Linked DNA regions of Caenorhabditis elegans. The protein of the gene in region 2 interacts with the protein of the main gene of each other region in a pairwise test. Each region holds a gene or a part of one and is shown on either strand. Other genes may lie near its edges. The genes, in order: ztf-17 and nmad-1.

What was found.
Region 1: the proteins of nmad-1 (region 2) and ztf-17 interact in a two-hybrid assay, tested with the Caenorhabditis elegans proteins (one large-scale study listed by BioGRID).

What each region holds. Positions count from the first base shown.
Region 1 is NC_003280.10:7,865,756-7,872,133, forward strand, and holds ztf-17 (Zinc finger transcription factor family protein 17), read right to left. Parts: upstream 4,408-6,378; 5' UTR 4,399-4,407; coding exon 4,333-4,398; intron 4,229-4,332; coding exon 4,148-4,228; intron 4,101-4,147; coding exon 3,948-4,100; intron 3,898-3,947; coding exon 3,809-3,897; intron 3,756-3,808; coding exon 3,645-3,755; intron 3,597-3,644; coding exon 3,291-3,596; intron 3,247-3,290; coding exon 3,099-3,246; intron 2,858-3,098; coding exon 2,429-2,857; intron 2,382-2,428; coding exon 2,306-2,381; intron 2,261-2,305; coding exon 2,102-2,260; intron 2,057-2,101; coding exon 1,989-2,056; intron 1,935-1,988; coding exon 1,827-1,934; intron 1,439-1,826; coding exon 1,115-1,438; 3' UTR 501-1,114; downstream 1-500. Other genes in the region: ostb-1 (Dolichyl-diphosphooligosaccharide--protein glycosyltransferase 48 kDa subunit), read left to right, coding at 1-20, 70-252; T01H3.3 (MFS domain-containing protein), read right to left, coding at 5,430-5,566, 5,614-5,699, 5,768-5,950, 6,001-6,149, 6,197-6,378.
Region 2 is NC_003281.10:5,552,765-5,556,898, reverse strand, and holds nmad-1 (DNA N6-methyl adenine demethylase), read left to right. Parts: upstream 1-1,964; 5' UTR 1,965-1,982; coding exon 1,983-2,099; intron 2,100-2,170; coding exon 2,171-2,255; intron 2,256-2,302; coding exon 2,303-2,460; intron 2,461-2,505; coding exon 2,506-2,735; coding exon of another isoform or gene 2,736-2,772; intron 2,773-3,044; coding exon 3,045-3,330; 3' UTR 3,331-3,410; downstream 3,411-4,134. Other genes in the region: hach-1 (3-hydroxyisobutyryl-CoA hydrolase, mitochondrial), read right to left, coding at 1-27, 78-298, 497-870, 923-1,315, 1,392-1,445. UniProt on the Caenorhabditis elegans protein: Dioxygenase that specifically demethylates DNA methylated on the 6th position of adenine (N(6)-methyladenosine) DNA. N(6)-methyladenosine (m6A) DNA is involved in epigenetic transgenerational inheritance.

The DNA.
Region 1 (6,378 bases), on a different chromosome or scaffold from region 2:
ATCTCTATGATGTGCAACAGGTTAGTAGAACGATGTACAATCTTTATTTGCATTACACATATTATTCAGGTGTCGGTTCGTCCATTGTGGCACACCCAGTATGAACGTTTCATTCGCTCCGCATATCCATACTACGCCTCTTCGTTCTCAATGATGGCGGGACTCGTGTTGTTCTCCATCGTCTATCTTTATCATAAAGATACGCCAGTCAAAGGAGCCAAGGTTCTGGATTCCGAAAAGAAGAAAAACTAAATGCTCTTTTTTCGCAAAGTTTGCCTCTTCGCCTACTGGTTTTTTCTCCCTCTCTCCTCAATTCGTTTTCATCGCCCGATTCCAATGATTTCTAACTTATTTATTTTTCTGCTTTTAGGTGATTTATATTCGTTCCCCTTTCTCCTACCAAAGTTTTTTTGTTTTAATGTATTCAAGTTTTATGTCCCAACTGGTTGTATTTCTTTAAAAGTATGTACTTTTGTGATAATAATAATATTTTTCATGTTAGAAGGATTTCATGTTTTATTCATAGGCGTAAACACAAAGAACAGAAGCTAGGGAATACGTTTGATATATTATTTCTTTAAATTTGGGTCTACACTTTAATCAGAAGAGAGGGTGAATGGATGACTCTGGTAATCTTTTGATAACCGAGTATATTTACATTGAAATGAGCATTAAGAAGATGAATATAAAGAAACAATGTAAAGGTAAAAAGAAACGTAGAATACAACCAACTTCCTAGCTTATATGACAAAGTGCAGAGAGGTGGGTACGGTATTTCTCAAAAAAGAAGATAACCAAAATGTATTGATCTACTGAAAATTGAAGATTATTATAAAAGATTGAAAATTGAAGATTACAATAAAAGATTTAATTCATAGTCAAAGCTTTCTTAAAATTAAAAGGGTAACACAACCTAAAAGAGTAAAATAGAAAGAAAAAACACACTACAACTAGAAATAACACACTGAACTAAAATCTAAAACTACACAACAGAAGAAAAACATGAACAAAAGATAAAATGACCAAAAAGGTTTAAATCTCTTTTAAAACAAAAAAAAGGAATCTAGCTAGACTGAAAGAGGAAGAAATCTAGCTATGTATATTCTATTTTACTCTAAGAAATATTGAGATTATTGTGACGATCGTTGAAATTAGTGAGTCCAAGTAGCTCATCGAATACGTCATCATCAAATGGTCCACTGAAATCAGTGGCCAAGTCCATACCGCACAGCGGATCATTAAAGTTATCTGGAAGATTTGCAGCGAGAATCCCATCAATATTAGAAGTAACTCCTGAAGCTTCTTCTCCGCCACACAAAATTTCATCGTCTCCTCCACCGAGTCCAAATAAATCTTCGGTTTTGAATTCTTCAAAGTCATCTTTCAAAATACTTTGAGTCGCGAGAGCATCTTCATCGTCCATTTCAATTTTGACTTTCTAAAAGCAGATTCGATTGAAAAAAGTCAAATAAATACATTTTCTATTAATCAGTTGCAAAAAATGCGAATTTTGACGAAAAACTACAGGACCCTGTCAAGAAAATTTTCGAAGCAAAATTTTAGAGAGTACTGTAGCTGAGATTTCCGGTTTTTCATGCAATTTTTTGAATTTCAGGGTTTAGGAGCAAAGTCGATGGAAATTCTTTAAAAAAAATTACGAAAGAACCAAAGATTGGGCTACTGTACATCTTAAAGGCGCACACCTTTTTGCGCAGCTTTCATTTAAAAAAATCAAGGGGATACTGTATTTTCTGGTAAAAATTGCAATAATTTGCAACGGGATTTTCCGATCACGGTTTATAATGTTTTTTTTTTCAAAAACTAACACTTTCGTCATACTCCTCAATACTCGAATTCATTTCGAGATTTTGAAGTTGTCCTCCATTGAAACGAATCGGCACAGCCTTCTTCATCGTAATTGATTCTAGCTCCTTCTGGAAAAACGTGAAATATTAAAAATTAAGAATATATTACAATAAAAGAAATACCTTTATAGTCATACCGGAATATGGAAGTCTGCGGTTTCCATTTATAGAAGGTTTCATTGTCATTGACACTAAACTTATTTTGAAATTAACAAGAGAAAACTAATTGTACTTACAATATGGGTTAGTGATTGGAATTGGTCCTGAATTGTTACGATAGCCAGTTCCATTAAAAGCAGCCATATCTCGATGATATTGTTCGAACCAAATTGGCATTTGTTCAATTAGTCCGTTTTCAGTGACGAGACGGAATCGTCCAGAAGATCCAAGATAGCCTATAAACTCAAAGATAACGGGAAAATTAACTGAACAGTACTTACTGCGAATAGTTTCAACATTTCCTAAAACATCGACACCTTCATTAACTGCGTCGACGATGGCTCCAATTGAAGCCAGCTAAAATTTCAACTTTACAATGAGATGAATTTCTGAAAAAATGAAACCTCATTCGATTCTAGAACCATTCTTGTGTGATCAATTTCATGTCCACTGTGATGAAGGCATCCTTCAATTTGTAGTTCGGAGACCGTCGGATTCTGCTTGATTTTCAAATAAGCCATACAATTTCTACCACACTTTATTGACGGTCTGGGTGGTCTCACGTATTTCTTGTTAGGTCTCTCCTTCTGATCACCACTTCTAGAACATGTCAGATAGTGAACTTGAAGTCCTCGTCCCCACTTTTTGGATCCTGATGAGACGACAAACTCGACTGCATGAGTCTCACGAAGAGAATCGAGCCACGATTGGAGCATTTCACGATTGGCAAATGTTCGTTTAACAAGAGGAGCTTCAATTCCGTGCGAGTCATACATATGACGAAGTAGGAGAGGGCGGGAATATGCGAATGTGTCACATTCACTACATTTCACCTGAAAAATTTATTTAAAGAGTGAGTAGCTAGAATGATGATTTTGATTCAAAACTTCCTAAATGGTCTGAAATTCAGAAATATTGAAAAAATGTACAGAGAAAGAATAAAAATGAATTTTCTTAAAAACGTGGAATTTGAATATCCTCCAAAACTTTCATTCAAATTCAGACTTTCTTAATTTTTCTCTGAATTTCAGAAGTACTTTTTGGTATTTTAGAAATAAAAAAAACCGAACTCACTCCTTTGGGTTTTGGCTGAACCAGCTGAACTTTCATTGCCTCACCAGTTTTGTCGTATATAACTGGCTGCTTTGGACCATGAACTAACATGTGTTTTTTCATTGACATTTCATTAGTACCACGCCAGAAGCAGTCTTGTTGGGGACACCTGAAAATTCACTTTATAATTTATATCAGATAACCTTAACTTACGCAAATCTTGACGTTTGCAACCGATTTCTCTGAAGCAAGTTATAGCTGGGCGATTTTGATGTCATGCATGGTTGAACCAACGGTCCGGACGATTTTAAATAAGGATCAGGTGACTCTGATTTTGGTGATTTATCAGCGTTGAAACCATCTCCAGTCAATTCGTCAGCTCCTAGATCGGCAATTTCATCGTCTAATTCTTCTTCAAAAACTACTTCTCCACCCATTGACATACATGCCGGAACAGTTGTAAAATGTTGTTTCGGTGGCTCTTGTGCTGGGACATACATGTTCGATGCGGGACGATTTCTATAAAATTTTGGAGTTTTAAAAAAATGTTAATTGCAATAAACTAACTCATCGAACTTATTGCCGTATTCTGCTTTTGGCAGACGATACACATATTTTGGAGCGCTGCCACTTGTATCAAGAGTCACACTTCCTGCTGACATTGAAGTTGCATGGTATCTGAAAATTGAATTGTGATGTTCAAATTTATATCGTCGCCGTTTTCTACTTACGATGGGGCTCGTATAGAAGAATTTATTGTAGTCAGTCTTCCAGTCATTTGATTACCTTTCATTCCAGGATTGTTACGACGAATGTAAATCTGTAAAGTTTTTAAACAGAATATCAGACACGTGTGCCGATTCTGCTCACTATTTTTCCACTCTCGTAATTCTCTTTCATCTTTTTCATATAATCTGGTGGTGGAAACGTCACTCCTGAACTACTTGTCATCGATTTCTGAACGCCATTGCCATCGGCAACGAACAGACGACGACGGGGTGCCAACCGACATGCTGGTATACTCTGGAAGACAATGTTTTACTAATATCCAGATTTTTGTTAATATTCACTTTGTAATTTGTCGGCGGTCGTTTGATTATTTTGCTTTGCTGCGACCGGAGTCCGTTGGACGAAGCGATTGTTGATGGTCCCTGAAAAATTTAATAAACTCATTTATTAAAATCATTTTTTTAAGACATAGAACATCTAATTTTCTAATGACTGTAAATTTGTATGTCAAACATATTTGAAATACCTGTACTGGTAAATGATAGTCATTTCCGTACGAATCGCCGTACACGGACGCCTGGTAGCGCAGCATGTGAATTACCTGAAATATGTAAATGTTTGAATCTACGATTGAACAATCAAAATGTTTCAACATTCGAATATAATGCAATGAAATTGTAGAAAATAGTGATCAGAGAACGAAAAATGTGTCAGAAACATTGGAAATAACGAAAGAAATGAAACATTTTGATAAGAGCTTATTGAAAAAAGAAGAGAAAACAGTCAATAGGGAACAGGAGGAATTTTTTGAGATTTTTTTCTGAATGATTATGTTTGCGTCGAATAGAAAAATGCTGAAAACTCAAATAAGATTAATTAAAGCTTGAACCATTTTCCGCGAATTTTTGATAATAATTGAAAACAACAAACGTTTAATGATCTTCGGTTTCTCACAGAAACATTTGTTTTTGAACAAAAAATGTGTTATTTCTATGAAGTGTTGCTGAATAATTCAAAGTTCGAACAAAACATGTTCTTTGAACTTTCTCGCTGCAGTATATTTTTTTTGGCCTAGATAAATATATTCTTTAGGAATAAAATTGTATTTATGCGATTGTTTTATAAAACTTAAAAACAGCATGAAAGTAATCAGTTGGCTCGAATGGCACACCACGAGTCGATGCCCGGCGAGCTCTGCAACAGTTGCCGAGTCCGCCGAAGAAAAAAAACGAATTGTCGTGAAGTGTGGCGCGGCGTGTACGTGATGCACACTTTAAATTCCACCGTAGTACTCCGCAAAGCCAGGCGCTCACGCTCCTGTTAACAAACATGTTTATTCAGTGAAAATCAGAGGACTTTTGTTCGAGAAAATTTATGTGAAAAAGCACAACAAAACAGCAGGAAAATATGGTACAGAAAGTGATACTACACGGGAAGGAACAAAAAATAAATTTGATAAAAATGGGAGAGCGATATGAATATTAAATTAAGATTTTATTATTGAAATAATGCAGTTTCGTTGACCTGAAAAACAATTTTGGTCAAATTTGGCAAACTATTGAGCAAATAATTAACAAGCTTTAAAAGCATGACCAATTATGAGTGTTTAAAGAAACAATTGTTTTATTTTTTTGATTCAACTCTTCGAATTTCGTAAAGTCCACACTCGTCTTGATTAAAATCGATCAGAGCTAGAGATTGCATTTTTGTAGAAGCTGCAAGCGGATCCCAAGACGAAGCAGCCCACGACGCTGATTTACCTGGAATATAGGAAATCGTGAAAATCATTAAAAAAAGTTCAAATTACCTCTTCCAAAAACTGCAAACTCGATGGCGACAGCAGAAAGAACGAAAAATAAGAACATTGTGACTTTCATCCATTCTGCCAGTTTGCTAAAAAATAAAAATGTAAAAGTGAATACTGAGCAACTTTTCGTCTCTTTACAAACTGAAATACTTACTTTTCAGTCACAGAATATGTAACAACCATTGGAAGAATCGAGAACGCCAGTCCAAATGGAACAGCACACATTGCCACAATTTGCTCGGCAAAAACTCTTCCAACGACGGTTAAACTTCTTACAAATCCAGCGACAATGGCCAAGCCAAATGGTAGCATTGAAATAAGAAGAAGCGAAAAAAGTCTGGAATTATTTTAAAGTATAAATAGAAATGAAAAATAGACGGAATTTACCCGGCTTTGGTTTGTAGTGAAGCGACGAGAACTATAGCGATCATCAAAATTGCGCCAATGGCAAATGCCGTGAAATTTAAAATTCTGACGATCTTTGTTGAAGGTTTGAAGAGGACGTTGAGAGAAGAAAAGATGATACATGATAACGGCTGTAAAATTATGAATGTTGAAGAAACATAAAAATTGTAAACCGTACCAAAAGCTGAAAAGGGAAACTACTGTGAATCCCAAGTCCTTCAACAACAAAAACATCGGGTGACGCCAGAAGAGATGGAAGATAAATTGAAAAGAAAGCAGTAACTGAGAAGAGACCAAATGCAGAAGTCCAGATGCTCCAAGCAGACAATGATCGGAAAAGTGAAGTATACGCATCTGCAA
Region 2 (4,134 bases):
TTGGCTTGCGATCCTTGTCAACGAGAACTGAAAAATGAGTCAAATTTTCAATGAAACCCTACAAAATCTCTGCTCACTGGCTCGGCACCCTTCATGGAAATCCTTATCGGCGAGGAATCGTTGAGTGAGACGATACTCCATTGTGAAGATCTTTGCATAGCTCATCTTGCTTCCTTCGGTGATTTGTCGGTGAGTTACTTTCAGGGAAGTTGGGCTCATTTTTCCTAGAGTGGCTGCTTGCTTCTTTGCCCAGTCGGATCCGTCTTTTTCGAGGCTTGCGAGGATTTCTTCGACGCTTCTGAAAAATCAATTATTTTATATATCTTAGGCAAATGTAATTTTTTGTGTGCTATCGAATCCTCAAAACTGGCCCTTTCCTAGTTTTTGCTTAAAACTAATATTATCTGAGAAACAATAATAAATCAATTCGATGAAATGCTACTTTTTAATTTGTTCCAACTCAAATACACGTGATCTTGGTGACAAAATATCTTACTTTGCTTTGAAGGAATCTCTAATTTGAGCCAAATTCTTGGACAGACTGAATTCTGGAATCTTCTTTGGCTCGAACGATCTGATGACTTCATCGACAGAGTTCTCTGTCACATCCTTAATATTCACAAGTTCCTTTTCCAATTTCGCAAGTTCCGAAGACTCCACAAAATGAGTGGCAAGACCAGCATGGAAAGCGTCAGCACCTAGAAGACGATATCCAGTGAGTGCCAAGTACATTCCGAGGTTTCCCTTGAGCCTTGAAAGGAAATAGGATCCACCGACGTCTGGGAAGAGTCCAAGTGCGGTTTCTGGCATTGCTAGCATTGTTTTCTCAGTGGCAACTCGGAAACGTCCATTTACAGAAAGACCACAACCCTGAAACAAGTTTTTTAAAAAATTGAAAAGAAAATAGTTGCAGATAACTTACTCCTCCCATCACAATTCCATCAATCAGACAAACGTATTGCTTATTCAAAGTTCCAATTAAATGATTTAAAATGTACTCCTCGCGGAAGAAATCCTTGTGCATTGTGCACTCTTTTCCACTCTCCGAATCTTTGAAAGATCGCACAACGGCAAGAACATCTCCTCCAGCACAGAACGCCTTATCACCGGATCCTTTCAAAATGACAAGATCCACATCGGAAGATGAATTCCAGGCTTGAAGTTTGGGATAAAACTCTCGTACCATTTCGAGGTTCAACGCGTTTAGCGCTTTAGGCCTATTCAATGTAACCACCTTCTTCGATCCGTGTGTGTCGACAAGGATTTCCGACTTGGCGGCGGCGCTCACGGAGAACGACATCTTCTGGCAGACTTCCTGGAAATTTCTGAGTTTAGAACAGAAAATTTGATAGAAAAATAAAATGTTAGTCAAAATTTGTGAAAAATGAAACCTTCGAATGAAGTCCGCGGAAGAGTGCGGGCAAGTTTCGGACAGTGGCAGCCATGTCTCTGAAAATTGGCTTAATAAAATGAAGAATAGTTTACGAAAACGAGAAAAGTGGTCTTGTTCCGCGAGGTTATAAAGGGAAAACATCACTGATCACAAAAAGAAGCTTGCACTTTGAGCACAAAACAAGAAAATAGGGAAATTTGAGGAATAGACTAATCAATCAATAATTTAACTTTCATTTTCACGCAAATTCCGTTAAAGAATCGATGAATAACTTGTAAAAATAATTAAAATTGATCAAATTAGGGTTTTCCGCCGAAAGAAAAAACTAAATGGGCGGTGCTTAATGAGTGAAACGCAATGTGCGCGCGCTTTTTGCGCAAGTGCCCCGCGCACAGTTTGGCAGGCAGAGATTTTTTCAGTAGACAATTTTTTTTTATATTTTTAAGATTTTTTGTTGGAAAATTAAAGAAGTTGTATCATTTTTCATGTGGTAATTTTAAAAAATAAATGTTCAATTCATTTTTATTATCCTTTCACTCTGAAAATGTTTAGAAATATTACGAAATTCCAGAAAACAACACTTCTCGACATGGGTTCCGCAGAACAAGCGTGTGGCTGCAAGGGAGCTCGATTTTGTGCACTTTGTGAGACAACGGAACGTGTGAAAAAGCTTCGCGTGGTGGAGGATAAGCATGTTAACTACAAAGTATGCATATTTCATTTTAAATAATCTTTAAAAAAAAACAATTGAACCGAATACAAAATTCCAAATTTCAGGTCTTCATTTACGATCACATTCGTCAAATCGCAATTCCAACGACAAATCTGAACTCTCAGTCTTCATTGGAGGATATCATTGATGGTTTTTATTACATATAATGAGTTTTCAACTAAAAATGAAATTTCTAGAATCCACCTCGTGCCAATCCGTATCTACAGACGGCTCCATCGAAATTGACGGGCTCACTCTCATTCACAATTTTCTGTCAGAATCTGAAGAATCTAAAATTCTCAATATGATAGACACAGTTGAATGGGCACAGTCACAAAGTGGTCGAAGAAAGCAAGTAAGAAAATCATTTAATAAAAAAAACATAATTTTAAAAGTTCAGGACTACGGACCGAAAGTGAATTTCAAGCATAAAAAGGTAAAAACGGACACATTTGTCGGAATGCCAGAGTACGCAGACATGTTGCTCAATAAGATGAGTGAATACGACGTGAAGAAACTCGGAAATTATCAGCCATTCGAAATGTGCAATTTGGAGTATGAGGAAGTGAAGAAAAGTGCCATTGAGATGCATCAGGATGATATGTGGATTTGGGGAAATCGATTGATAAGGTATGAATTCCTTTTTAAAAAAGTACTGTTTAATTAATATTATTTTCGGCAGAAATTCGACAAAAAATTTTTATTTTTGCAAAAAAAACGCGAATATTTTAAAACGAAATTCCCATTGACAGTAATCTACAAAAAAAAAAATTTTTTTTAAGATCTGAAAACTTCAGAGTATTTGATTTTTCTCAAAAACTGTGTTCAAAAAAATGCCTTGCCTCGAGAATAATAAATTTAAATACTGTTTGTCCCCATTTCATTTTTTTTTAATTTCCAAAATTTAAAGAACTTTGAAGAATCCAATCAATTTTTCAGCATCAACCTAATCAATGGATCCGTGATGACTCTATCCAACGATAATAAATCGTTCTTATGCTACGTCCATATGCCTCATCGTTCTCTTCTCTGTATGGCCGATGAATGTAGATATGATTGGAAGCACGGAGTTCTCGCTCACCACATCCGTGGACGAAGAATAGCGTTGACGATGCGAGAGGCGGCCAAAGATTTCGCTGAGGGAGGGGAATTGTATGAGAAATACGGTGCCGAGCTAATTCGCCTGGGCAACATTCGAGTACCACTTTCGAAAACTTCCGTGTGATGATAATTCCTTTTTTCTGTCTGTTTTGTCATTCTTCTCCTTGTTCAACCAACTTTTTAATTGAAGAAGTTTTAATTTTTATTCTTTGTTCGTTTCTCGTTCAGGTGCAAAGTAATTATGGAATGAATCGGCTGAAAACCGAATTGGGAAAACAACATGTGACGTCACAGAGAGCCATGTGATCGAGATAAGATAAGGAGTGAACGGCTCGGAGAGCATTCATTTAATGATTGATTGGGATGGACACCTGTCAGATAGACTACATTACAGTTTTCCTGTAGGCACACGTGTGACCCTGAACCTAAAAAATTTGAAATTAAATTCCAACAAAGAAGAAAGAAAACCGTATAATTTAGATAGCCATCTCGATTATTTACCTGTAGTTTGGAAGACTCGTCACGAGGTTATTGAAAGAAAGAGAGAGAGTTCGCTGACAATTTGTTTACCTTGGAATCAAAAATTGCTTGGTTTGCAATTTTTCAGAACCCACGTGGCTGTTATTTTCTTGCGTTCATTAGGAATATTTTAATCTGTCAATTAATCCGTTTATAAAAAAACCGATTTTTAGCTTTGAATTTTAGTTAAAATAATGAAAAGAGACTTGCGCCTTTAAAGAGTTACGGTAGTTATCAAAAGATTTTCAGAAAGTTACAGTAACCCAATGAAGACGCACGTCTATTTTTTTTTAATTTACTGGTTTAAAACTAACTAAAATAAAACAAAGCTTTCTACTCGGACTGTGTTTTTACTTATTATAAAATCCCCGAAAAATAATTCCGTCTAATAGAGCGCAATTGCATCAGA